Canis lupus familiaris: one gene and its partners. The protein of the gene in region 6 purifies or fractionates together with the protein of the main gene of each other region. This does not show direct contact. Links are inferred from orthologs where the notes say so. Each region holds a gene or a part of one and is shown on either strand. Other genes may lie near its edges.

Evidence for each region.
Region 1: the proteins of FBXW7 (region 6) and MED13 purify together in Homo sapiens (affinity purification with mass spectrometry; 5 studies listed by BioGRID and IntAct, with this or other methods). This does not show direct contact. The link is inferred for Canis lupus familiaris from reciprocal best matches to the Homo sapiens genes FBXW7 and MED13.
Region 2: the proteins of FBXW7 (region 6) and FMR1 purify together in Homo sapiens (affinity purification with mass spectrometry, with the first as the bait; 3 studies listed by BioGRID). This does not show direct contact. The link is inferred for Canis lupus familiaris from reciprocal best matches to the Homo sapiens genes FBXW7 and FMR1.
Region 3: the proteins of FBXW7 (region 6) and ENO1 purify together in Homo sapiens (affinity purification with western blotting; 3 studies listed by BioGRID, with this or other methods). This does not show direct contact. The link is inferred for Canis lupus familiaris from reciprocal best matches to the Homo sapiens genes FBXW7 and ENO1.
Region 4: the proteins of FBXW7 (region 6) and MED12 purify together in Homo sapiens (affinity purification with mass spectrometry; 3 studies listed by BioGRID and IntAct, with this or other methods). This does not show direct contact. The link is inferred for Canis lupus familiaris from reciprocal best matches to the Homo sapiens genes FBXW7 and MED12.
Region 5: the proteins of FBXW7 (region 6) and RBM28 purify together in Homo sapiens (affinity purification with mass spectrometry, with the first as the bait; 3 studies listed by BioGRID). This does not show direct contact. The link is inferred for Canis lupus familiaris from reciprocal best matches to the Homo sapiens genes FBXW7 and RBM28.
Region 7: the proteins of FBXW7 (region 6) and SNX8 purify together in Homo sapiens (affinity purification with mass spectrometry; 3 studies listed by BioGRID and IntAct, counting the BioPlex papers as one, with this or other methods). This does not show direct contact. The link is inferred for Canis lupus familiaris from reciprocal best matches to the Homo sapiens genes FBXW7 and SNX8.

What each region holds. Positions count from the first base shown.
Region 1 is NC_049230.1:34,603,131-34,607,273, reverse strand, and holds the start of MED13 (mediator of RNA polymerase II transcription subunit 13), read right to left. Parts: upstream 2,801-4,143; 5' UTR 2,712-2,800; coding exon 2,646-2,711; intron 774-2,645; coding exon 539-773; intron 1-538. UniProt on the Homo sapiens protein: Component of the Mediator complex, a coactivator involved in the regulated transcription of nearly all RNA polymerase II-dependent genes.
Region 2 is NC_049260.1:117,386,550-117,390,049, reverse strand, and holds part of FMR1 (synaptic functional regulator FMR1), read right to left. Parts: intron 3,060-3,500; coding exon 2,973-3,059; intron 474-2,972; coding exon 278-473; intron 1-277.
Region 3 is NC_049226.1:62,805,283-62,809,372, forward strand, and holds the start of ENO1 (alpha-enolase), read right to left. Parts: upstream 2,801-4,090; 5' UTR 2,642-2,800; intron 434-2,641; 5' UTR 425-433; coding exon 340-424; intron 1-339. UniProt on the Homo sapiens protein: Glycolytic enzyme the catalyzes the conversion of 2-phosphoglycerate to phosphoenolpyruvate. In addition to glycolysis, involved in various processes such as growth control, hypoxia tolerance and allergic responses.
Region 4 is NC_049260.1:55,693,338-55,696,837, forward strand, and holds part of MED12 (mediator of RNA polymerase II transcription subunit 12), read left to right. Parts: intron 1-20; coding exon 21-141; intron 142-525; coding exon 526-627; intron 628-756; coding exon 757-870; intron 871-1,122; coding exon 1,123-1,298; intron 1,299-1,481; coding exon 1,482-1,661; intron 1,662-2,722; coding exon 2,723-2,794; intron 2,795-3,249; coding exon 3,250-3,383; intron 3,384-3,500. UniProt on the Homo sapiens protein: Component of the Mediator complex, a coactivator involved in the regulated transcription of nearly all RNA polymerase II-dependent genes.
Region 5 is NC_049235.1:7,922,464-7,925,963, reverse strand, and holds part of RBM28 (RNA-binding protein 28), read right to left. Parts: intron 3,076-3,500; coding exon 2,917-3,075; intron 614-2,916; coding exon 464-613; intron 150-463; coding exon 75-149; intron 1-74. UniProt on the Homo sapiens protein: Nucleolar component of the spliceosomal ribonucleoprotein complexes.
Region 6 is NC_049236.1:50,550,200-50,553,699, reverse strand, and holds part of FBXW7 (F-box/WD repeat-containing protein 7), read left to right. Parts: intron 1-1,034; coding exon 1,035-1,171; intron 1,172-2,333; coding exon 2,334-2,447; intron 2,448-3,500. UniProt on the Homo sapiens protein: Substrate recognition component of a SCF (SKP1-CUL1-F-box protein) E3 ubiquitin-protein ligase complex which mediates the ubiquitination and subsequent proteasomal degradation of target proteins.
Region 7 is NC_049227.1:14,974,906-14,978,963, reverse strand, and holds the start of SNX8 (sorting nexin-8), read right to left. Parts: upstream 2,801-4,058; 5' UTR 2,791-2,800; coding exon 2,685-2,790; intron 1-2,684. UniProt on the Homo sapiens protein: May be involved in several stages of intracellular trafficking. May play a role in intracellular protein transport from early endosomes to the trans-Golgi network.

The DNA of each region.
Region 1 (4,143 bases), on a different chromosome or scaffold from region 6:
AGTGACAGTCTTTGAAAGAACACTAAAAGAATCACTGTCCAAGAATAACAAAATTAACATATGCTTTCATATGGTAATAACCACAACTAACAACAAAATATACACCTTGAAAAAAATACATAAGAAAGTTACAACATTTCTAGAAACTCCTACCAAATGTCTGCATATTGATACAGAAGAGAGCAGTGGCAGAATGGACTCAAATGGTGAATTACACATGCCTGCAAATTACTTCTCCCTCATTCCATTTTTCTTAGGTAACATGCCTTCCTTGTGCCCCGTTCGCAAGAAAATACACAAGGATGCTGGGTGGTTAAAGAAAAAGTTATTCAAGGCTAAAGCCTGCCATAATATGGATAATTTAAGTAAAATAAAATAACCACACTGAAACATAACAGTAAGCTAACTTTTTTATCTGGCTTCACATCTAACAGTGTTTCACACACAAGAAAAAAATCTTAATTTGTAATATAAATGATTTTTAGGAAAAGTATACAACGTTGCTATATATCATTGGTTAAAAATAAGTTGCCTTCACCTGACAAGTCATGGTGAATAAGATCAGCAAAATTGGGGTCTTCACCCCACCAAAATATCCACAATTCTCTTCTTCCAGGTCTTTGATCTCGCCGCCAAACACCAAGTACATCTGCCTTAAGGCAGCGACTAAAACTGCTCAAAATGGGGTCTTCCTCTGTCACCGGAAACAGAATAGGGGCAGAAGTTGGGCCTTGCCATACATATCTTTTCCATTTAATTCCCGTCAAGTCAGCCTGAAGAAAAGAAAGCATGAGTATTACAGCACATTCACTCAAAGTCAATAGTACTCACTCTTAAAGCCCTTTATTTCATTAAGACATTACAATTTTTCAATATATACTGAAGATATTAAAGCAGACTGACCAAAAAAATGATTCTTAGATAATTCAACAACCCAAAATTTAAGGAAAGGAACTAAAACCGTGAAAATATTAACACTGACATGTCACTGAGTAGCAATAAATAGATGTCCCTAAGAAAAATAAAAGACTTAAAAATGTTTAATATAAACATGTACTTTAATACTGCACACTCAGTAAACATTTCCTCTAAGTTCTGTTCCAACTGGTCACGTTTGTTCCCTGGTGTCACACTGTAACAGAAAATTTTTAAAGACTTATGATTCCATGTTTATAAATTGATGGCTCCAATGAAATGAGAACTATAGTTGAAAAAAGTGTTCACATATCCCTTTTAGGCAAAGTGAAATAGAAAATGCGCACAAAGAACTGTCAGATTTGTACTAGTCTATTTTCAAAGAACCTGATCCTAAAAGTACCAAAAATAGACGGAGTCAGAGAAAACAGAAATGTAAAACCTGATGTTATGTTTTATTGCACCCGAAGAGATGTTGATTAACGGGCATTGTACAAGAAAACATTTTATAAGAGGAAAGGGCATTAAAAAAAAAACAATTTGGCACCGTGAAAAAATTCGACAGGGAGAATTTAGTAATTCTTTAACTTAGAGGTGCAAAGCATAAGGTGCCAAAAATGAAACTGCTGATACATGACTGGCAGTTTACACTTGCCAACTAGTTGTGCTCCGCCCACTCGGTTCACTTACCTATCACATACTCTTAGTATTTCTCCTAGCACACAAAAAATGAAAAAAGTCAGTCACTGAAACTTTAAATCGTGGACGAAGCTAAGCTACTGTCCAACTGAGGGCTAAATATTTGCAACAGTTGGTAGTTTTCAAAAAGTCTTAACTGTGGATGTTACCAGAACTGGGCCAACCTATACAATTGTCAGTCCTGCATCCAGCTTCCCTAGACTTTTCAATATAATGAGAAGCAGCCTGCTCAAACCAATCTAAAAATGCAAGTAAAACAAATAACAGCAACAAAAATTAGTGCAAAACCATAGAACCTCCTCCACTAGTCCCATTTCACTCTCACACAAACATAATGTTCTATTAAAAGCAAGACGGCTAAAAATTGTCAAAATGGCAAACTGTTTTCAAAGTTCAAAGACAAAACATGAAATGGTATCTACTGGTTTTTACAGAGAGATCTGAACTCATCGAAGGGAGAAACTAATCTTCTGTTAGTTTGACTCATCAGAAAACGTAAAACGAAAAGAGATTTTTTTTTTTTAGTACATAAGTTCCGGTGTCCTGTTTGGGGGGGGGGGGGGCGGGGGGGGGAACGAATGACCAGAGTGTGGCATAAAGGCACTGGGAGAATGAGCAATAATGTAAAGTGTTAAGAAGAGATACATAGTCAATAAGGAGAAAAGCAATAGTTAATAAGCAAGACACACCGGGAAATGGGAGTATCCTGCCAGATAAGGAGCACAAGTTGAAGACAAGACTACGGTTGAGGAAGAGTCGGAAACGGGGGACAAGGAAAGAAAAAAAAAAAAAAAAGCCAGCAGTCCTAAAGCAGAGCTCAGGATGGGGCTGAGCGAACGCGTTTCCCGGGGCTGGCGCGGGGCTCGGCCGCGGGGCTCGGCCGCGGCGCCGGCTCCGGCTGGGCCTAGCCCGGGGACTCGGGCATCTGGATCAGACCCGGACCCCCTCCCCCACGGCCCAAGGGCGCACCTCGCGGCCCCCTCCCCCACCGCCCCGCACGCCGCGGCCCCCGCCCGCGGCCCCTCACTCACCAGGCAGAAGAGGTTACAGTGACAATCTTCCAGGCTGGCCCCGTTCGGCACGAAGGAGGAACTCATCGTCCCTCACAGCAGCCGCCGCCGGCGCCACAACCCACCATCCGCCATTACCGCCGCCTCCGACCAGAGAGAGAAACACAGACACCGGGGAGGGCGGGGGGGTGGCGGCTGGGGGAGCGGTGGAAGAGGAGGCCGCCGGGCCGCCCGCCCTCCCCGCCCACCCCCCCGCCGCCGCGAGCAGCCCCCGCCGCCCGGCCGGCACCTAGCCGCCCGGGGCCCAGGGCCGGCGGGAGGGCCGCGCCGCGCTCGCCCCGCGGGCCGGACTGCGGCCGCCGCGGAGCCCGCGGACGCTTGCCCCTCTCGGGGGCACAGAGGAGATATGTGCTCCTTCCACAAGAAGAAAAAAAAAAAAAAACCAATAAATTACACAATAAATAATTAAAATCGAGTCCGAGAGGGCAGAGCCCGAGCCGTGGAGGGTGCTCCCGGGCGGGGAGGCGCCCGTGGAGGGGCAGGAAGGGCAAGAGCCGGGAGAGAAGCCCAGGCCCCCGGCCCGGCGGCGGCGATGTCCTTAAGCCCAGAATCTCCTCGGCGGCGGAGGTGGTGGCGGCGTCTGCGGGCTCAGACCATTCTCTGGCTGTGTCTTCGTGTCGTCCCTGGGCCAGGCCGGCCTAACGTCTGCTCTACTGCGGCCTCACCGCCCGGACGCCGTAGTCTCCCCCATTTTGTGGGCCCAGCGGGCGGCGTTTTTCCCCCTTTAATCCGAATTCACGGGTTTTCCCTTCGCTTTAATGGCGGCCACAGGGACCAGCTCGCCCTCTCTGCTCGCCCATTGGCCGCCTTGAGGTCACGTGGGCCCGGGCTCCGTGGGGAGGAGGAGAGAGAAGGGAGTGAGAGAGGGCCGGGAAGCTTTCGGCGGAGGCGGTGAGCCCTGGGGACCGGACGGCCAGCTGGCGGCTACTAAGACAGCGCCATCTGCTGGGTGCCTCGGCCACTGTAAGATGACCCCGGGCCCAGGCCCTAGCTTTCTCCTTGCGGGGGGGGGGAATCTACAGCGCAAGAGGGTTCGCATCACCGATCTGAGAATTACGTGGAAAACAGTTTGATTTCGTCGGAAAAGAAAGTGTTGCAAAAATTCCCGGGCATTCTCACTTGCAAACCCCCCGGGCTTGGGAGTCAGACGATCTGCGATACAACTTGGACACTTAAAAAGTTGTGATATCAAGAAAGAAAGAAATGTATGAGAAACAGTATAGCCTCGTAGTGAATAACCTGGGAGTGAGAGCCACGCTTCCTTGGGTTCAAGCCTTGAGCCAGTCAGTTCTTGGGGTCTCAGTTTCCTCATTTGTTAAAAGGGGGAAACATAACCCTATCTCATAGGGATGCTGTGACAATGGAGTTAACACAAATAAACCAGGTAGCCCAGTGTCTGGCACAGACACCCATTGCTAACAGTTACCTATTATTGTTGTCATCGTGACCTCATAAGATT
Region 2 (3,500 bases), on a different chromosome or scaffold from region 6:
AATCAGGAAAGGCCTTAAGAAAGTCATCAACACACAAGGGCTTAAGCAGATTTATCCCCAGTCAGAACGTGGACAGAACTCACACCTGCCCTGTAAACTCTGTGTGTTATTATCATGTTTTAACTCTATATGTCTCTTGCAACACAATTTGACCCACTGTGAATCGGAAACCATGTAGTGAGAAACCGTTATAATGGGGTTCTAATGAATATTAGAGATTAGCAGCTATTAAGTCTAGGAACAGATAAAGTTACTGAGTAAAATGCTTAGTTTGTACCTGAAGTATATCCAGGACCGCGTCTGCCGTGCCCCCTATTTCTGTAAGGTCTACTACCTCGACCCATTCCTTGACCATCATCAGTCACATAGCCTTTTTCCTTATCTGTACGATTTGGTGGTGGTCTAGAACTAGCTCCAATCTGTCGCAACTGCTCATCAATTTGTAATCTCTCCAAACGCAACTGGTCTACTTCCTATTTAAAATATACAAGATAACAGTAAAAATAATTTGACATTTTACTTAATAATACCTTTCTCCTTTTCATCAGATAAAAATATACTGGAAATATTTCAATTTCAGTTCTAAATTTATAGTAAACACTGTTACACAGAATTATCAGGAAATTGAATGGTCTCCTTAAAAAGAAAAATTACTATAGATAACAGATTATCGATGTCCATAATTAGAGATATAACAAAAATACTCAGCATTAGAATTCTACTGTATAGAATTTAAAGTTGATTTGGTACTATTATCCAATAGAATCTGTTAAGGCACAGATATGCTAGTTTGGGGACTTCTTGATGATAGGATGTTGAATAAAGCAACTCTAAAATACAGGTAAATGACATTTAAGGTTTAACCAGCTAACCTTAAAAATCACACACTGTAAATAATCTTAACTGAAATATATTTGCCAGTTCTTATCTTAATTTATGAAGCACTGCGTTTGGGCCATCTTCCGCTTTCAAGGAACATATATTATGGTAGGTCTTTGGATATGATCACACAGTTAAGGAAAAATTATTTTCAGCAAACTGAAAATGCTCCTATTCCTTATATGGTAGGGGAGGGGGATATGACTATTTAAGAGCTGACCAAAAAAGTTAGACTTAACATCAAGCCTTGAAAGCTCTTAAAGACTACAACTGTGCTAGAACAAGTACAACAAAACAGTATTAATGTTGATCAAAATATACACCTGGGCTCCACTGACAGACCCTTACACACAGTGCTTCTGATATGCTGGGTTCTGTCAAATTCAGATGAAGCTTCAATTCTAACCCTTGTCCTTGCAATCTACCCAAAAAACATCTCCTTTACTGGCTATAGGGAACTGGATCCATAACTCTTAATAGTACTGGGTGTCTGAGGAAAGCAGTGGCCATCATAGGGACTGCCTACATGGACAGTCACTGGATAAGCCCCTGTTAAGCTAAGTTCTTAAAATCCTGGTTGTGGATGCTTCTGGCAAAGAAAGGGCAGATAGGTTTAATCTGTGCTCTGAACCAAATTTTCTGTTTTACAAAGGACTTGAGCAAAGGAGAGACTGAGTGAGTAGCTTACTCCTAGAGTATAGTTATAGCTCATGGAATGGGTGTATCTTGCAAAACAGAATGGTAGTCCAGGTTATCCCAATGGGGCAAAGCAGTCACCTTTTGGTGAGAGATGCCAGGCCCAATCAAGGGAAGATCTAGTGATGGAAAGAATAGCAACAGGACAACTGCTGATAACCAAAAAAGATTCAATTGTGAAGAATAAATAAAGGGATCTTAAAAAGAACATTAGTCAAAAGAACAAGGGATTGATTATAATGCAACCCTAACTCTCCAGGTCATCATAATTATTTAAGCTAAGAATATAAAAAAAACCACATACAACAGATTACAAATAAAACACACCTTAAAACAAAAATAAAAAGCAAACCAATGGGGTATCCTACCCATGCAAACCTTGCTGGATGAAACCTTCCCATTTTCAATTATTACGTGACCACCATAAGATGAGTGAAGCCTAACTATTGCACTTTTGTTCCCCTTATTTGCATCCAAATCAAAATTGTTTATTTCTTTCAAGAAATCAGCAAAAATATTCTTATTAAGATAAGATCATACATAAAATAGAAAGCTGGATTATTTTTAAATACTATTTAGTACCAATCACTTGTAATTTTGATGCATACAGATATAAAAAGAAGAAATTATAAAAGTGACATGGGTAAGATCTCATTTCATTGAATTATAGAACATTTTGGCCACAGGAAATCTTAGAAAAGCATCCAATATAGGCAGAAGTGACTTGCCTAAAGTCACATAAACTAGTCCATGATAGAAGACAGACTAGAAGCAAGTCACTGGACTGCCAATCCAGTGCTCCTTCCACTATATCTTGTAGCTTCCTAGTTCCTGATTTCCAGTTTGCAATCTAGAGAAGGCCTAACTGTACAAACACTAACTAAAACGAGCATCTAAAAGACATAAGTTGTTTATATTTTGTATAACAGAGTATAGAGAAAAATACAAAGGGTAAACATTTAAACAGACGACTTCATGAAACACTGAGATTTCCTTGATATATGACATAAAAGGGACAAACAAAGGCAAGTGTTAACAGACACAAAATTTGGCCTGGAAAAAACTCACAAAGGCTAGAAAGGATCAACTGAATGAAAAGGCTATGTACAGGAGTGCCTAAATTGAGTGTAAGGGTTTAACAATAGAATAATGGGAAATAGGGGAATTTACTAAGAACTGGGATATTGGTCCTTTAATTTGTAATGATAGAAAATGGACTTGTGTTTTCAGAAGGAATATAATAAGCAAAACAAAGTATTTTCTCTATTACCTTTTACAGGTCATTCATTGTAACGTACAGGCTAGAATGAACCTTCACTGCTGAAAGACTGCCTGACTGTGGAGTTTTTATATTTTAGTACAAAAGGATTAGAAGTTAAAGTTCTTCTTGTTCTCACCTTTAAATAGTTCAGGTGATAATCCAGAAGAACAGTGGCATTAGCAATGCTGTCCTTTGTTCCCACAAAAACAAATGGTACCATACCCTGAAAAATAAATGGCAACAACGATCCTATAACATCAATAATGGATTATTTGACAAAAATGCAAATAGTGACTAAATCCCTAACACAGGGCCTGACAAACAGAAGGTATACAAAGGTTTGTTGAAAATATAACTCAATACATGGAAACAAAAGTAGTTGGCAGATTTTACACATCTACTGTGAATAACGACAGATCAATACAGCAACCCCATGAGTGTACCATATTGTTATGTTTTAAATGCTACTATTAAATGTTGGCAAAATCACAAATTATGTAATTCAAAATTATACAAGCTCTGACATGAGATGCATAAACAAAACAAATACTTTAAAGTACTTTAATTCATACACTACAGGCTGAATCTAGATCAAATTCTTTAAAGAGAAATTCAAAGTTAAATACTAGGGCACAGAAATAAAAACTAAATCCATTTTGCTAAC
Region 3 (4,090 bases), on a different chromosome or scaffold from region 6:
AAGCTCCATCCAACCACACCAGATATGCTTGCTCAGGCAGAGCAAGCTGTGAAGCAAACCAGTGACGGGCCCTTTTAGGGACGAGGTATGATCTTACTTTACCCAACTCTCACTGACCTGGGAGCAAGTTGTTTTAGATACCAAGAAGCAGCAAGACAAGGACCCCATGCCTTGTAACCCTCCCCCACCTCCTCCCATTCAGGAACCACAGCCTAGCACACGTGCACATCAGAAGGAAAGGCTTTTACAACAGACCTTTTCTTGCCCAAGACTCTGTTGTTTAAATTTTAAAAAGATGGGAGTGTGGGAGAGGAAGTCCTGAAACAAAGGTGCACCTACCTTTGGAGGTGTAGAGGTCAACCTCAACAGTGGGGTTCCCGCGAGAGTCAAAGATCTCCCTGGCGTGGATCTTGAGAATAGACATGGTGACTTTCTGTGGGGGAAACACAGTTCATACTTCCCATAAACCATAATGCAGCCTTGGGTCATTCATTCAAAGAATCGCTTCTGAGGATTCCTGGACTAGAAAGAATTTGCGCTGGACAGATACGGGATGCAAGGTGGCTGCCAAGAGTGGGGAAAGCCTGCTGTGCCCAGCTCTGTAGGGCCTCAAACCCCAGTAGTCTGGTGCTGGTCCTTTAAGCAAAGCAAAGCCTGGAAATGTGTTGTCTGCACACAGGATGGTTGAAGCTGAGACAGTCTGAAGCAGGTTACTGTCAATAGCTCCCACCGAGGGTAGCATGGGAATGGACCAAGGAGACTCGAAGGTCAGAAGCTAACCCATCCAGGACAAAAAAAATGCAAGGTGATACAAGGAGAGAAATCTGGCTTGTAGCGAAATAATGAATTCATAGTTGGGGACATAATTCACCAAGTTAAACTTGAGGTAGCCGTAAGATGTTCAGTCGGTGGATACTGGGATACTTAAAGAAATTTTGAGGCCAGGAGTGTCCTTGGTCTGTACAATGTGGTCTTTGCTATTACTGCCAACTTCTGGGCCTTTCACATTTCACAGTACTTGGATCTTTAGCAAGACAGGACACACCAAAAATAACATCTAATTAGTATTACTTTCAACAGGCATTTTACCCATTCAAAAAAATTAATTATGAAATGTCATAATTGAAATCAAACTAGATTCTATCCTCAAATGTTAGGATACTCCAAGGGAGGAGGCTTTCCTTAAAAGCATCTTATAAAAAAAAAAAAAAAAAAAAAAAAAACAGATTTGCAGTTACAAAGAGCAATCACCTTAGTTCTCAAAGAAAGCCTTTTCACCTCCCAGCCCCAGGGGCTTCCAAGAAAGAAAGGACCTTGTAGGACTGACTGAAGGCAGCCCAGTGGAATTGGGTTAGTGTTCAGAGCCATTATCTAGCTGGGCTCCTCTCCAGTATCTTGTCTGGAATGTTCTGAGGCAGCAAATGGCATCTTTTTTTTTTTTAATAAGTTTCAAAATTAGACAGTGAAATCACTTCGGGTGCATGGGGACTATTTAACAATGAAGTTTCATTCGTTAGCCAATAAAAAGGTAAAAAAAAGGTATCTAGTTTTTATTCACTATCCTACAAAAAGGCAAATTTGCTTAAATGTATTTTTTAATTATAAGATTTTAGTAACTTTGAGTTTTGGCAAATCATATACCTGTGTCTGATGGCCACCACCTAAAAAAGTCCCTTTAGGCCCTTTGCAGTCAATCCCCACCCCCCCCATCCCTAGGCCACCATAGACTTACATTGTGCATTTAGATGCGCTTTAAGCACATCTTTATTACAATACATCCTCTTGCTGTTGTAAGATGTCCTTTCGTTTAATTTAGTAATATTAATACACAGCGACTTATTTCAAGCTGTGAAAATAAAAGTTCAACTTATCCTTAAAAAGGTTAGAAAACTACTCCCGATGTCATTACGGTTCAGTAAGCAAGGCCAGCAAGAATGGATGGAGTGTTCACGGCTCATCTGCCTGGGCTGAACCCCGGACCAGGGGCAGCACGTGTGGACTGGGCAGTCAGGGCCGAGGGGTGTCCCCGGCCCCAATTCACACAGCAGACAGGGAATTTTCTTAAAATATGTCCTTCTAACGTCAGATCGGTGGCCGACTGCCGAGAGCCCGGCCGGGGAGCCGGAGCAGCTCCTGCATGACCTGGGCGAGGTCGCCTGGACCGCTTTCCCAATTACGCAACGGTTCGGCCGCAGTCCGCTGAAGAACAAGCACCCTCTGAAGTTCCATTCATTAGAGGCTGCCCCCTCCGTCACCAGCCTCCCGCCTCCCGCCTGCAGGCCGGGGCCCCCAGCGGGGCGCAGGGGCTGCTGGTGGGGGAGGGGCTCGCGGCTTCTGGGCATCCCGTCCCTGCCCCTCCCTCCACTTTGGGAAAGGCCTGGCTCTAACGAGCCCCCGGGCTTAGGCCCGCACCTCCCCAAGCCCCTGCAGCGTCCGGCCCGCCGTCCCCCACGGCCCGCGTTCCACTCGCGAGCTCCCATTAGCCCTGTGAACCCCTCATCTCAGCCGACTCCGCTCCTGCCCCTCCGGCGAAGCCCGGCCCGCACGTGCCGACCCGCCCCTCCCACGTCCCCACCCCGGACCCACGCGCAGGGCCCCCAGGCTTGGGTGCCGGCTCGGCAGCCCTTCCTGGATTCCCTACCTGGCCGCCGATAGCGCTGCCCGGGGAAAAAGCAGAGGATGCCGCAGGCACCAAGGACGAGCGTTAGGCTGCGCGGTCCGGACGCTCCGAGGACCCGAAGCTCGTCTCAGCGCCGCCGGCCCCGACTTCCTGCCCAGCTCCCCGATGCCCCGCCCACTTCCCGCCCCCCAGCCCGCCCCCGCGGCGCCGCCTCGTCATTGGCCCAGCGCGCCGTCACTCAGGCCTGCGCTTCCCGGGAAGGGGCGGGACTGTAGCGGCCCCCGCGGCCGGGAGGGGCAGCGAAGACCCGGGGACGTGGAGCGGGGCGGGACTGGGGGGGTCGCGACCCCCCCCGCGGCTGTGTGGGGGTGCGGGCGAGTCCCTGCCCCGGCGCCCTCCATTCTCGCCCCCGGCTGGGACCCCTGGCCGAGCCGGCCTGTGGCGCCAGGGCCCCGGGAAGGGGCGGGGTGGCGCGGCCGGCATGAGGGTTTGGGGCTCCGGCACGTACTCCGAGTCCCGCACGCACGCAGCGTCGCTCCGGCGCCTCACGTCCGGCCCACGACCTTGGCGACGACCTTCGCGGCCCGCCCTCCCGGCCGGCCCCGCCCCGCCCCGCCCCGCCCGCAGCGTGGGGCCGGAGACCCCGTCGGCCTGGCGACGTTGGCGGCCGCGCGCCTCGGTGCGGCTCCCGGGCCGGGTCTGCAGCGGGGCCCACGTGCGGCGGCCTGCGCCTGCGCGCTGCGCCCCGGCTCGCCCCCGCCCCGCCCTCCGCGCGCCGGCGGGCGAGCGAGTCTTTGTGTCTGAGCGTGGGCCAGACCACGGGCATGGGGTTGGGCGCGAGGTGGCGCGAAGGAAGTTTACTTCCGTGCAGTTAGGAGCTGATGCTTTTTGAGCCCTTCCAGCGTGCCCGGCACTTCTCCACGTGCGTCTCAGGGTTAATGTTGCATCTGGAAGGCAGACTTCGTGTGCCTCCGTGCCTCCCCCCGTCCCTGTGAACCGCGTACAGTGATTTGGGACTGGAATTTCCCACAGACCCGAGGCATTTCTCAGAGTTCAAAGCGGGTAGTATTCCACGGTCGTCTGGCAAGGGAGAAACAGGAGAAACGGTGCAGTGATTTCATTCACCTTGCTGGTGGAGAAAACTCCATTTAATGCTAAAATGCATTTTAAACTGCATTTAGAATCAGTTCTGCAGCACATTCTGCTCTCCAAGAAAGGGCTGAGGCGATTACTTCGTTTTCTATAATCGTTAGATTTGTATTTGTCAGCGTTCTCCTTGGTCTGGAAATCCGGAAGCTAAAATAATGTCCTATATCTCCGTATTTTCAGCATTGTTGTGCAGAGAGAGAGGGAGAGAGAGAGAGATTCAAATGTGTATTTGAATTTAGTTATTATTTCTCCTGGTCAGCTGCAAAAACTGCTTTTCTTCCTTCACTGCTAACATTTTTATCTCCTGAGCTACTGGCTTAG
Region 4 (3,500 bases), on a different chromosome or scaffold from region 6:
TTGTCTGCTTTGTCCTCCAGGTCAGTGACCTGTCTTTTCATGACTCTCTGGCTACTTTTGTTGCCATCCTCATCGCTCGGCAATGTCTGCTCCTTGAGGATCTGATTCGCTGTGCTGCCATCCCTTCACTCCTTAATGCCGGTGAACCACCAGTCCGTAACCCTTAGAATTTCTGGATCCCAAGTTTGACTACACACTCCATGGCCACACCCTCACTGTTGAGTGTGGGGCTCCCCGCTATCACCAGAGGCCAGTTGTGTGATGGGCCTCGGGCCCAGAGCGGCCTCTTTCTAACGCTGTGTTGACTGCCCTGATCCTTCCCTGTTGTGACCCTCCTAAGGGACCCCCCCCCATCACACTGCAAGACAGCTGACTGCTCTGTCTCTCCTCCCCCATTATCTTGTTATTTCTCCTTTTGCCTGACTTCGCCTTCCCTTCTAGCCCCTTGCCACCCACAAACCCACGGACAGTCCACTTTTGCCCTGTCCAATTTGCTTTGTTTTCCTTTTTTTTTTTTTTTTGCAGCCTGCAGTGAGCAGGACTCTGAGCCAGGGGCCCGGCTGACCTGCCGCATCCTCCTCCACCTTTTCAAGACGCCTCAACTCAATCCTTGCCAGTCAGATGGAAGTAAGTGACCCTGATCTGGGCCTAGCCAGCAGTAGAAAGTGTGGCTGCTCCCCCCCCCCCCCGCCCCACCCACTGCCTGCACCCCACTGGATCTACTTTTGCTTCTCATGACTTGGGCTCCCTCTCCAGACAAGCCTACAGTAGGAATCCGTTCCTCCTGTGACCGCCACCTGCTGGCTGCCTCCCAGAACCGCATCGTGGATGGAGCTGTGTTTGCTGTTCTCAAGGCAGTATTTGTACTTGGTATGGGGGTAGGAAGGGAGTGGTGCCAGAAGTGTGTGTGGGGTGGAGTGCCAGCTAAACTACAAAGGAAAGTCTTTCTCCCTCCTGAAGGTGGTCTCTCTGACCTTTGGGGAGGAGAGGAGGGAGGGAAGTATATTTCTGTCCCATAGGGCAGGATTTGGGGGAGTTGCTGCTTCTGTGGGTCTGGGGTGGGTCTCTACACCGTGTTCAGATCTCACTCTGCCCTCCCTATCTCCCGCCCGTGAACCACAGGGGATGCGGAACTGAAGGGTTCAGGCTTCACTGTGACAGGAGGAACAGAAGAACTTCCAGAGGAGGAGGGAGGAGGTGGCAGTGGCGGTCGGAGGCAGGGTGGCCGCAACATCTCTGTGGAGACAGCCAGTCTGGATGTCTATGCCAAGTACGTGCTGCGCAGCATCTGCCAACAGGTCAGTCTCACCTTCCCCCCATGCATCCCAAATGCCTTTATATAATAATGTCCTGTTTCCAGCCCTGATCATGCCACCTTCCTACTATACATCACGTCTCTCATCAACCCCCAGCCCATCTCCCCCTTATTCCTTACCCCCACTCACTGTTTGCCCCAGTGCCCTGGTTATCTACTTCCTCAGGAATGGGTAGGAGAGCGTTGCCTTAAATCATTGTGTGAGGATAGCAATGACCTGCAAGACCCAGTGTTGAGTAGTGCCCAGGCCCAGCGCCTCATGCAGCTCATCTGCTACCCACATCGGTTGCTGGACAACGAGGACGGGGAAAACCCCCAGCGGCAGCGCATTAAGCGTATTCTGCAGGTAGGCCAAGGTGGTGAGGGTCTTAGAGGAAGCAGTGGGGCCCAGGCCCTGGGTGAAACAATGGGGACCCTGAGGGAAAAAGAGGGGGTTAGTCAAGTAGGAAGACTGAACAAGGATGTGGGCAAAAGGTGGTCAGAGCAACAGCCCCCATGTGGGTTTTGAAGTCAGGCCAGTGCAGTCCAGACCCTAGAGCCAACTGCTGGATGAGGGCATGGCTATCTGGGACTGTAGCTTATCAGTGAGAGGCGGCACAACATCTGCTAAGCCTTGTTTAAGGCCTTGCTTGTTTGGTGTTTGCTCACAGCTCAGTAACGAACAGCAGTAGTACTTCATAGCTCTTGATTACCAAGTGTCAGCTTCATGCCGAGTATTGTGCTCAGCACTCTATGTCCATCTTCTCATTTAATCTGTCCCAACCCCCAGAAAGTAGGTAGGAGTGGCCAAGTTTGACCAAGGAGGAAACCAAGGCTTGAAGAGTTTATTAAGTAATTAGCCCAAGGTCACACAGCTAGTTTAGAGTCAGGGTGCGAGCCCAGGTGGGCCTGTGCCCCTTCCACTTTGCCATGCTGCTTCAGGCATTCAGGTAACTGAAGGGTGGAGAAATAAAGCTGTTAAAAGAGCTACAGGAATGAGTCTCTTCAGCCCAGAGGAGATAATGTTAAAGAGAGATTAACTCACATTAGCCCTTGGGTCTGTAAAGGACTTTGAACAGCTGGTTTAAAACAGCCTGCAACTTTAACATCAAAGATTTAGGGTAAGTGCTAAGCAGAACTTACCCATGTGGAGGAATGTGAAGCTCTGGAATAGGAGACAGGGGAAAGATGGGAAATCTTTCCAGAACCGTTTTTAAAATAGGCTAGATTTTTCAACGATTTTGGATCATTTTGGTGTAGTCTTTCCTAAAGATGGGGACGTGGAAGTTCCTTTCAGACCTGTAGGCATATGTGTTTCAAGGTTGTGAGAGATCAGGAGGTGGCTTAGTCAGGGTGGGGGGTAAGTGGCTGGAAATGGAGAGGGGGGACAGGATGATGATGAGCTTAGGGGTGGCGTCTCCATCACAGAACTTGGACCAGTGGACCATGCGCCAGTCTTCCTTGGAGCTGCAGCTCATGATCAAGCAGACCCCTAACAATGTGAGTTGGCACCTGGCCCTCTCTGTCCCATGCTCACTTCCAGCTCCATGTGTCAGGGGTGTGGGCTACCATAGAAGAACCTGTGTCCTATGGAACTTCAGGTTCTTGAGCTGAGAAAGAGAGGGTGGGAAGATGGCAAACGCATGGGGCTGATGAGTAGGGGGAAATGGGTCAGGAATGTTGGGGCTCGGTGGTGTGGGGGAAGATTGGCGATGGTGGTGGTGGGAGGCAGTTTCTCTGGTCACAACTGTAAGGAGGCATGTGAGGAGAAGACAGTGGGGGAATTGGAGAAATAGGGAGGCTCTGGAGGGCAGGCTCTCAGCAGAGTTGTGTCTTTCCCTCTCATTACCTTCCAGATGCCTTTCTCCGCCCTCATCTCCCATCTTTCCTGCCGTCTGTTTTCCTTCCTATCACAGTTACCTATTGAGCACCTCTGTGCCTTTCATCCTCCCCAGGAGATGAACTCCCTCTTAGAGAACATCGCCAAGGCCACAATCGAGGTTTTCCAACAGTCAGCAGAGACAGGGTCATCTTCTGGAAGCACCACAAGCAACATGCCCAGCAGCAGCAAAACAAAGCCAGTGCTCAGGTTGGGTAGAAATGCATTCAGACCCCTCCCCTTATGACTTGTTCTCTCATAGTGTAAATGATTTCAGTCTCACAGAGATACTAGGCCTGTCCATTGGGCAGGGAGAGCATGGCTTGT
Region 5 (3,500 bases), on a different chromosome or scaffold from region 6:
AAATTTCATGTTATGTGTATTTGACCATAACTTAAAAAAACAAGCAAAAACAGAAAAACATTTCAGTTCTGTACCAGGCTGCGCTGAATCCTCAGTTCCTTTATTTTAAGTTTCCTTCGATCCTCCAATGAGAACTCCACTATTGGTCTCTGTGTCAGAAAGAGAATGTCATTCATTAGATTTCTTAATTTCTGAGAGCAATGAGCTGAGATATCCCCCACCACTGCCCTCTCTCCTGCTCACTTACTCTACTCAAAGGTAAGGGGCCATTCTGCAAGCAGTCTATCCAATTTAGATTTCAAAACCTTCTGATCATCTTATCCGCTGAACCACTGCTTATTCCCTCACTAACTGGCTCCTCTTTCCTACCACACATAAGTCAGAGGACACTGGACAAAGCAGAGAAATGGTTTTCTGCAAAGGGCCCTCAGAGGAATAGGTCTCCTCACAGGATGAGGCTCACCTTCAGAGGCCCAAAGATCTCTGGATTGTTGTTGATGTGGCGAAGGGCTGTCAGGGCATGCTCGTGCTCCTGGAACTCTGCAAAGGCATAGCCCAGGGACTGACCCTTAACTTTCCCATGCACTCCTTTGAGGTCTCGCATCACCCGACACTATGAGTAGAACAAGAGAAAGAAGGCATGATTACAGAATGAGAGCATGAACAGACTCACTGTGAGATCAGGTGGCTGGGACAGAATCCTCATCCACATCACTGCCACAACAGCCATATTATACTGGACTAACATTTACCAAGGTCTTATTAGCATACATCTACTGAAAGCACAAAGCCAATTAAATAGATACTTTCTGGCTTTCTAAGAGTTTACAGAGATCAACAAAAAACCTATAAATAAGCATGTAGATGAAAATACCCCCCAATTAAAATAGTCAATTGTGGACAATACATACAAGTTCAAAAGTATATGGTACTTTAAATTGTGTAAGTTATCACTGAGGATGAAGCGCTGTCCATAGATCTCATCACTGAAGAAGCCACTCAGAAAGGAAATTACTGAAGAAGGAAAAGAGGCCTGATGGCTTTAGCTAAGAAAGGCACTGAGGGGTGCCTGAGTGGCTCACTTGGTGAAGCATTTGATTCTTGATTTCAGCTCAGGTTATGATCTCAGGGTTGTGAGATGGAGCCCCATTCAGGCTCCCTGCTCATCAGAGAGTCTGCTTCTCTCCTTCTCCCTCTGCTCTCTCTCTTTCTCAAATAAATAAATAAATCTTTAAGAAAGACATTCAGGTATGAGGAAGGGCCTGCCTAACATATAGCCTAAGGATTACAGCTGAAGCTTCAGCTAGCTTTGCTCAGAGCTCGGATCTTCTCTGGCATGATTTGCCTTAAATCCGTAAGCTGAATGTAATAGGTGTCCTGGGACATCAAAGATACCATACCATAGTAGCATATCTTGGAAAAGGCTGTAGTTCTCATGTAATCGAGAAATCTAGGTATTAAGGATACATGGATGCTGCATTTGGTATACTTCCAGTACCTACATTGTCCCAAGAACTGTGCCATGTACTATAGGGAAGTTAAGAAAAGCTTAAAATGAGGTTCCTGTCCTGAAGAAGCTTACGATTTTGGTGAGATACTATACCAACACGTATTAAAACATTAAAGAGAAAATTCAAGGGGTGCCAGGGAGGTACAGTCAGTTGGTTAAGTGTCTTTTTGCATTCAGCTCAGGTCATGATCTCAGGATTGTGAGATCGAGTGCTGCATAGGGCTCTATGCTCAGTGTGGAGTCTGCTTGAGATTCTCTCTCTCCCTTTCCCTCTGCGCCTCCTGCTCGTGCTCTCTCTTTCTCTCTCTCAAATAAATAAATAAATAAATAATAAATAAATGAATCACTCTTGAAAGAAAGAAAGAAAAAAAGAAAGACCCCTTAAAATGACAATAGAGGGATCAAAAAATAAAATAAAGAGAAAATTCAATGCAATGCAAATACAGTAAAACACATGAATTTCTCTGATGATAGGTTTTAAATGTACAAGCACTTATTAAATATTGTAGATGCTGATATGAGAAATTACACAACTGACCTCTATGCCAGTAACACTTTGAACAGTTTTACTAAGAGTGGTGTCAGATATGTGCTGATATGTTCACATTCTCTCATGTAATTCCCCAAATACCAATGCCATACATTTTGAAGAGATTTTCCAGGATTAGGAAAACAGTTTATAGTCATAAATCAGAGCAAAGTAGATTTCTAATATTGGCTGTGTTACTTATTCAATAAATATAGATTGAGAGATTTACTATGTTCCAGGTACCCTGCCAAGGACTGGGAGCAATGAGAAACCTGCTCTCAAAGAGCTCAGGAGAGCTGGTCAGGAGAAATGACTAGCAGACAACGACAGGACCATGTAATCATAAGTGCCAGGATGAAGATTTGCAGAGGGTGGGGCAGAGGAGAAGGCTCTGTACTCTTATGGAGTCTCATCAAGTTTTGGTGCAAATCCAGCGTTTGTCTAATACAACCGCTGAAGACCCGCATGACTCTCTGTGCTTACCACACAGCACCAAGGACTCTTTTCGTACAGTAAGAGTATTGCAAATGGAAGTAAAATGTTCTTCTAAAGAGCAAAATAGACAGATTATTTTCTCTGCAAGAAAATTAACACTATAGCACCTGCTATGATGCTGAGCACACAGCAAGAATTCAAATTAATTCATGAGGGCAGACATTTCCTCACATTGTGCTACAATCTGGACAATGTGGGTGAAAGGCAGTTATAAGAAGAGAAAACAAACAAATAAACATGAAAACTGCCAATCTCAGCCTCATCTGTTGACAATGCTCCCAGAAGAAATTCTGTCAATCGGCTAGCACCAAAGCCTGGAATAAATGCTTAATCTGACCCAGGACAAGTACCAAACTTCTAAGTGGGTGGGGCCAGCTCTCACCTCCTTGAGGCGCACTCCCTTCTCCCCTCTGGTGGCATTCAGTAGAAGCTTCCGAAGTTCTTTGTCATCCACACCTTTTGGGAGGTTGTGCAGGCACAGCCTGGTCTGGGAGACGAAGATATTCTGGTCCTTAAGTTTCTGATGCTTTAGCAGCTCAAACTGAAAGAACAACAAATTGTTAATAAGACAATCTACCCTTTAAAAATGCAAAAATAAAAAATTAAAATAAAGTGAAATAAAATAAATAAAATAAAATAAAATAAAATAAAATAAAATAAAAAATAAAAATGCAGGTTCATAATTCTCCAAAAGGAAAGAACTGTGGCCACCACCCCCACTCCCCCACCCTTCAATAACCCTTCATATGGACAAAAGAAGGGAAATCACCTATCTACCACCTTATGAGGCCTAGCATAGGGAAAGAAAGGTTCAAAGAGGCAAAATGGTGGGTAGGTGGTAAGATCTTGGGCTCTAGATTCAGACTAAACTGGAAATTCATCCTTAACTGGAGAAGTTACATGAAATTTTTTAAGCCTCAGTGTTTCCCTCTACAAAGTGAAACTGTAGCTCAAAATACCAATCTC
Region 6 (3,500 bases):
GTTGAGTGAGAAGTATAGATCCAAGGTACTTGGTTTCTAATCCTGCCTCTGCCTGTCTATTGCTCAGACTAATTAGTGAAACCCTCTCAAGTGTCTATATTATATAAAGTGGGATTAACAGTCCTTGCCTTACCTTCTCTTATAGAATCATTATTTTAATGACTTTTAAAAAAAATTGTGGTAACATATACTTGAGAATTTATCATTCTAACCATTTTTAAGTGTACAGTTCAGTGGCATTAAGTACAGGCATGTTATTATACAGTCCGTCTCCAGAACTTTTTTTATCTTTCTTGGCTGAAAGTCCATACCCATTTAACAGTAACTCCCTATTCCTCTTCCTGCAGCCCTTGGCAACCACCATTCTATTTCTGTTTGACTACTTTGGGTGCCTCATATAAGTGGAATCATATGGTATTTGTCTTTTTGTGACTGGCTTATTTCATTTTGCATACTGTCTTCAAGGTTTATCCATGTGGTGGCATGTGTCAGAATTCCCTTCCTTTTTCAGTCTGAATAAATATTCCATTGTATATATATACACACCACATTTTGTTTATTCATTCATCCATCGATGGACACTTGGGTTGCTTCCACCTTTCAGCTATTATGAATGATGCAGCTCTGAACATGAGTGTACAGATATCTGTTCAAGTTTCTGCTTTTAATTCTTTTGGATGTGTATCCAGAATTGGAATTGCTGGATCATATGGTAATTCTATATTTAATTTTTTTTGATGAACCACCATACTGCTTTCCATAGCAGCTATACCGTTTTATATTCCTACAAGCATTGCATAAGGGCTCAAATTTCTGCACATCCTCACCAACATTTCACAGAATTATTTAGAGAAAGAAATTAAAAAGTCAATATGAAAACATGCCATAGAAAATGCAGACTTTACATTATTGTTTTATAATAACTATTAGAAATTGGACAATGTCCTGTATTTCAGTGGTTTTGAGCATAGGGGAAAATGAGATATATTATAAAATGTGTAATTTTTACTATTGGTGACTCTTTAAAATTTCAGGTATTGATGAACCATTGCACATCAAGAGAAGAAAAGTAATAAAACCAGGTTTCATACACAGTCCATGGAAAAGTGCATACATCAGACAGCATAGAATTGATACTAACTGGAGGCGAGGAGAACTCAAATCTCCTAAGGTAACTGAACTCTTGCACAGTGTAACTGAAAGCATTAATCAGTGTTGCTACCTAGTATGTTCTTCTTGGCCAGAAGTATAACTTGACCCTATCTCCTGTAGAACGAAAACAGTATATTTTGAAATAACTGAAAATGTGTAACGGACAGTATTCCCCTATTGCTAATTTCTCCAGACAACTGATTGTACTTGAATAAAAGAGGAGTTGAATTGCATGTCATTCTATCTTAGGAAATGAAAATTTCTGAATATCTTGTTGAATTTTGTGTCATAGACATTTTACCTAAGAATTTGCTTGCTCTCTGACTAGGTAGTTAGAACATGATTTTTTGAGGAGTGCCCATGTTTTGTGTTTTGATGTCCCTTTTGAGGGACATTTATTTTTATAAATTTAATGATAATACCGATTTTTTTGTCTTACTGTAAGTATGTAAATAGTGGCAAAAATGCTTGAAATTCTTAGATATATTTATACAACTGGAAGAAAGCAATTAGGGGAGATACTGTTATATTAATAAGTAAACATTATAACAGGCTTTTTTTTTTTTTTTTTTTGAGAGAGTGAGCGAGCACATATGAGTGGGAGTTGGGAAGAAGGGGTAGAGGGAGAGAGAATCTCAAGCACATTCCACACCCAGTGAGAAGCTCTGCTCAAAGCTCAGTCTCATGACCCTGAGATAATGACCTGAGTCAAGAGACACCTAACCGACTGAGCCATCCGGGTACTCCCAGGCTTTTTTTGTTTTACATTGAAGAAGTTGATAATTTTTATTACTCGTCTTTCTAGTTTGTAGGTGTTTTTGTCTTTGTGTGTAAAAATTGCAGAACATAGATGTATATTTTTTTGGTTTGAACAAATAGATAATTATAAAATACATTTGTGTTTGAACCATCTTTATGAGGTCTTGACTCATAAAAGTCTTGATTCACTCAATGTTAATAGTTGATATCTCACATAAAAGTCATAGAATATGGAAAAATAAAATCCTTAATAGTTGATTCAGCATTCAGGAAGGATGGTACTTTGTATTTTATATAATTGTAATTTTAAAAATAGACTTTAGATTGCTGCTCCTATTTGTGGCTTTACTTTTTTTTTTTTACCAGTATTTTAAGAAATATAATTTAATAACATATTTCTAATCTGTACATTTATCTTGTAGGTTCTGAAAGGACATGATGATCATGTGATCACATGCTTACAGTTTTGTGGTAACCGAATAGTTAGTGGTTCTGATGACAACACTTTAAAAGTTTGGTCAGCAGTCACAGGCAAAGTAAGCATACTTCTTTCTATACTTCCCATTTTGTTTATGTTTTTGCATGGATCAATCAGGGAAACCATGGGTTCATTTTTGACTGCAGCATATTTTGTTAACAAGTATCAGAGCTTCTAATTTAGTTTTTTCCTTGGCACAAAGATAATGTTTCTCAGGTTGGGGATGTCATTAATTTCTTCTTGTAAATAATTTGTCTATCTTTGTGATTTAGCTATTATATGATTTTAACAAAATGCTTCATCTTTTTCTTGGCTTACTTTTTTCCCACCTTTATTAACCATCACAGTTATATTGTCCTTTTTAATATTCTTCAAAACTGTGATTGAGGGATACTTACTTTTCTTTGTAAACTGCTCTGTTGATAACTTACCTATAGTTTAGAAGTTAAACAAATCATGTTAATTTAGACTTATTTCAAGCCCTGTGAGATGAAAGTAAAGCAGATACAGTATTTAAATAGGAGTTTGAAGTAAAAAGCAGTCCAAGCAATCAATTTCACTGCATACAGTATTTTGCTTTCATGTTCTATGGTGAATACTTATTTTTATCTGTCCACTGGAGAATGATTTCATAAACTAAGTAACTGATCAGCTAAAAAAACTAGAGGAAAATGTGAGGGGAAAAAACCCTGTCTTTTAAAATGTCTTACAGCATGTTGATTCTTGGCAAGAATCTTCTAAGTATTCCAAGTCAGATGTAAAAATTTTTTAAAGCAGCTTCATATTTCCATAGTGTAATTATTAGTTTTGGATTTATTTCAGAGTTTTAGTATCTGTCTTTACTTGTCTAGAAGTACCTTGCCTGGCTCCTAACTACTGCCTTGGGGCAGATTCAGATGAAATGTGGTATGTAGCCACACCTAACATGGTTGGCATTCTTTCATTGAATCCATTCCTATGGAAGAATCCAAGTTGCAATTTTAGCATTATTTTATCAAAGAGACCAGGCTGGAGCTGTCATATTTTAATAAGTGTTTTACTTTCTATCTACTTGATCCTCAGTAGTGTATGTATGTTTAATATGTAATGCTACTGAATAAAAAGAATAAAT
Region 7 (4,058 bases), on a different chromosome or scaffold from region 6:
AGGGGAACAAAGGTAGCAAATGGAATTCAGGTGGCCAACCAGCTGACCTTGAAATAGGCCACAGGTTGTGGATTATCCAGGTGGTTGGTGGTCCCGGGGTCCTCAAAAGTAGAAGTAGTAAACAAGAAATGGGGAACCAGAGAAATGACAGCACGAAAAAGACATGGCTCATGGTTGCTGGAGAAAGGGGACCATCACCGAGGAATGTGGGAGGCATCTGCAAGCCAGAAAGGCCGGAAAACGGATTTTCCCCGAGGGCCTCCAGAAGGAAGGCAGCCCTGCCCACACCTGATAGTAGCCCAAGGAAACCTATTTTGGACTACTGACCACCATCCAGATCTGTGAGATGCTAAGTGTTGTTTAAGCCACCATATCTGTAGTAATTTGTTACAGCAACTGCAGAAAACTAATACACTACCCTAGGGAAACATAAACACATGTGCTCGAGAAGATATGGGGTTTCTAAGTATGTATCCTTTTAAAATATAAAAACAGGGTGGAGAGAATCCATCCCCAACCCATAACAAAGATCACCTCTGGCAAAGAGACGGTGGTGGGAATCGGTGTGAGATTCACTTAGTTAATAATGTTCTACATTTCTTTAAAGAAAACGTGTTTGTCCATGTATAGCTTAATTGAAAATTAAATTTTTAGGGAGTGGACAGCCCTGGTGGCTCAGCGGGTTTGGCGCCACCTCCAGCCCACGGCGTGATCCCGGAGACCCGGGATCGAGTCCCACATCGGGCTCCCTGCATGGAGCCTGCTTCTCCCTCTGCCTGTGTCTCTGCCTCTCTCTCTCTGTGTGTCTCTATGAATAAATAAATAAAATGTTTAAAAAAAATTTTAGGGAGTTACCATTCACAGATTAAGCTTCAAAGCATTAGAACATGACCCTTAATGTTGGAAACCAGGGAACGCGATTTTCTCTGACAATCCCAATGGCAGTACAAAGACCCAGACTTCACAGTCTCCACAAGTAATACCTCGAGTAGGCTCTGCCTGTGTAGACAAAACACCGAAAAGAGAAACCATTCTATATTCATAAGCACAAACCCATCAACGAACCAAAATCAGCCTTGACTAAAAGTGAGATATGCATTTACGGTCAACGGACAAGATTCGGTCTCAAAGCCTTAGGTTTTCTGCCTCTAGCCCACCCAACCACGACTCCCACCTGGACATGCCTCCTTAATACTTGCCCAGTTTGGGCAAGTCACTTACCTCTGGGTTTTATTTATCCCAGTGTAAAAAAGATTTGTTCTACCACTTTACCTGTGTCATCGGATGGTCAAAAGGTTTTAAGTGGGATGCAATGACAGGTTGCCTCCCACAGTCCATAAACCCCACTTTGAGTACTCCCCTGGCTATAGAACAGCACTCTGTAACCAGAGGTGCTACCGTGTCCTCACAGTGAGCAGGCCTAATAAAATCCCCACGGCCCCCAAGAAGGCCAACTAAGGCCAACTACCACGGTTATTCCAGGCAAAGTCAGAGGGAGGGTATGCTGGGAGGGCGGCTGTCCATAAGTGGAATCCAGTGGGTAAGTCCTGCCATGTGGGGGACGCCTGGGTGGGTCACTGGTTGAGCATCTGCTCAGGTCGTGGTCCTGGGATCAAGACCCACATCTGGCTCCCTGCATGGAGCCTGCTTCTCCCTCTGCTGTGTCTCTGCCCCTGTGTGTCTCTCATGAATAAATAAATAAAATCTTAAAAAAAAAAAAAATCGACTGCGGTACCCAAAGGTACAGACGGTGCAGAGACCCCTGAGCCACCACCATATGCAGTCAACTATGAACTGCTTTACAACCCGAGCCAAAAAGCCAATGACAGCCTCCCGTTTCCAAACGGGACCAACCAAGGGGTCCAGGCTGGGGCCCCGGAATCGGTGAGGCCCATTGCCCACGCCGGGCTCAAATGTGTGACCTCCAGAACAGCAAGTGCCATCACATGCTTCCCCTTACACAGCTACGAACGCAATGAAAAATTACTCAAAACCATTTCTGGGAGTGGGGGATTTCTTTCTAGATGCAGACACACCCAGGAGCCTTTATGTCAAGGAGTCCAGTGCAATGCCCACCTCCCAGCAGCTTCCCCGCCACTCCCTTCCCTGTTCTCCCCAATGAATAAACACTCTCGTGCCCTCCAGAAGCCACCGTAGCACAGCCCCCTGGGGACACCTGGCCACACCCCCAGCGGGGTCCCTCGCCCCTGTGCCCCCTCCCCGCCTCCGACCCGCGCCCAAAGGCCGCAGTAACGGCCAGCAACGCCGCCCCTACATCTGTTCTCCACCCGGAGGGGGCTAAAGGAGGGAACTTTCCAGGAGGGACCATCCTACAAAAGCCAAGCCCCGCGCACGCTTTTCCGTGCTGACGCCCATTCACGAGGGCACACGCACTCGGAGCCAAGTCTGTCCGGTCCGCGGCGGAGAGCTCGCGAGTCCGGGGCGGCACGGCGGGGAGCGGGAGCGGGGCCCCCGAACAGGGAGGCGCGGCCGGGCGACCCAGAGCAGGTGCGCAGGTGCGCAGGTGCTCGGGTCCCCGGGCCCGCGGCGCCCTTCTCAGCGTGGCGGGGGCGCGCGGGGCGCCAGCGGGCAGCCGGGGAGCCGGGGAGCCGGGGGCCGCGGGGCCACGGGGGCGAGGGCGGGCCGGGGGCTGCGCGCGGGAGCAGGGGGACCGCCAGCCGTACCTGCCGCCGGTGGGTCCGCCTCCTCGTCCGCCTCCGCCTCAGCTGCCGCCACGACTGGAGCCGCGCCTGCCTCCGCGGACAGCCGGTCCATCACGCCGCCAGTCATGTGAGCGCTAGCCACGTGACTTCCTCCGCGCCCGCCGGCCCGCCACGCCACGCCCACCCCGCCCGGCCACGCCCACACCACGCCCACTCCGGGCGGCCACGCCCCTTTTGTCTGGCCTGGCCACGCCCATCCTGGCCCGCCCCGCCCCGGCCACGCGGCCACCGGGAGGCCTGGCCCGCGCCGCTCGCCCCCTCGTTCATCCGCTAGCTCGGCCTCTGGTCGTCACACTCACCCCTCCTACGGTTACTCTGCACTTCCGCGTGGGCGGCCCCCGCGTCCCGGCGCGTCCTCCACTCACCCCTCGGTCCTCAGCGCCCCCGCCCCGCCCCGCCCCGCCCCTCACCGACGCACCCATCCCCCCTCTCTCATTCATCATTCATCCACGCTCCCACCCCCGCTCACTCACCCTCTCCCTGGCTCGCTCACTCACTCACCCGTCCACGCCTTGCTCACTCACCCACACACACTCATTCACCCGCTCCCTGGCTGCCTCACTCATTCATCCGTCCACCTCCTCTGCTCACCCGCCTTACCCGCCCCTTACCCGTTCACTCCCGCACTCCCACTGCCCCCGCCCTCGGTCCGGGGTGCATTAGGTGCCTCCAGATTTGGAGGGGGGCACACTAGAGCAAGTGTCCTGGCTGTTCCCAAATGAGGCTGTGGGAGCTCCGGGAACGAGGAAGGGACCCCCTGGGGGGCGGAGCCTGAACTGATGCTGCGGGTGAGGAGTTATGCAGGAGGAGGAGGCAATGGCCTCCAGCTGGCTCAAACTTTCTGAGGCATCAAGCAGCTGGAAACGCTACTGCCGTCCTCCTGGAGCTAAAGTGTGGGTGCAACATGGCAGAAGAGGAATCTGGAGCACAGGAAGGGCTCCATCAGGGAGGATCTCCTGATGTTGTGGCCTACTGACACCCCCTGGGAGCTGGCAACTCCATCAGTAGTCCAGGCCCCATGTCCAGGTCCTTCCCCACATTGTCCCTTCTTGCTACAGCCACTGGATCCTGCCCAGGTTACAGCACCCAGGAAGTCCCTGTGAGCTGGCACAGGCAGAGACGCTCTCCCCCACTATAATCTTGCAAGTGCTGGTCCCTTCCACACATGGACTTCCACAAGTCGCAGGGGGACACTGCAGGATCCTGTGATACACAGCCCCCATCTGATGCTGCTTCCTTCCGCATCCTGGCCTTCCTTTCAGCTGCTCTTGCATCCACTAATGTGCTCAGCACTTTCTATGTCTCCACCCCCCAAACACACACACACTCTTTAAC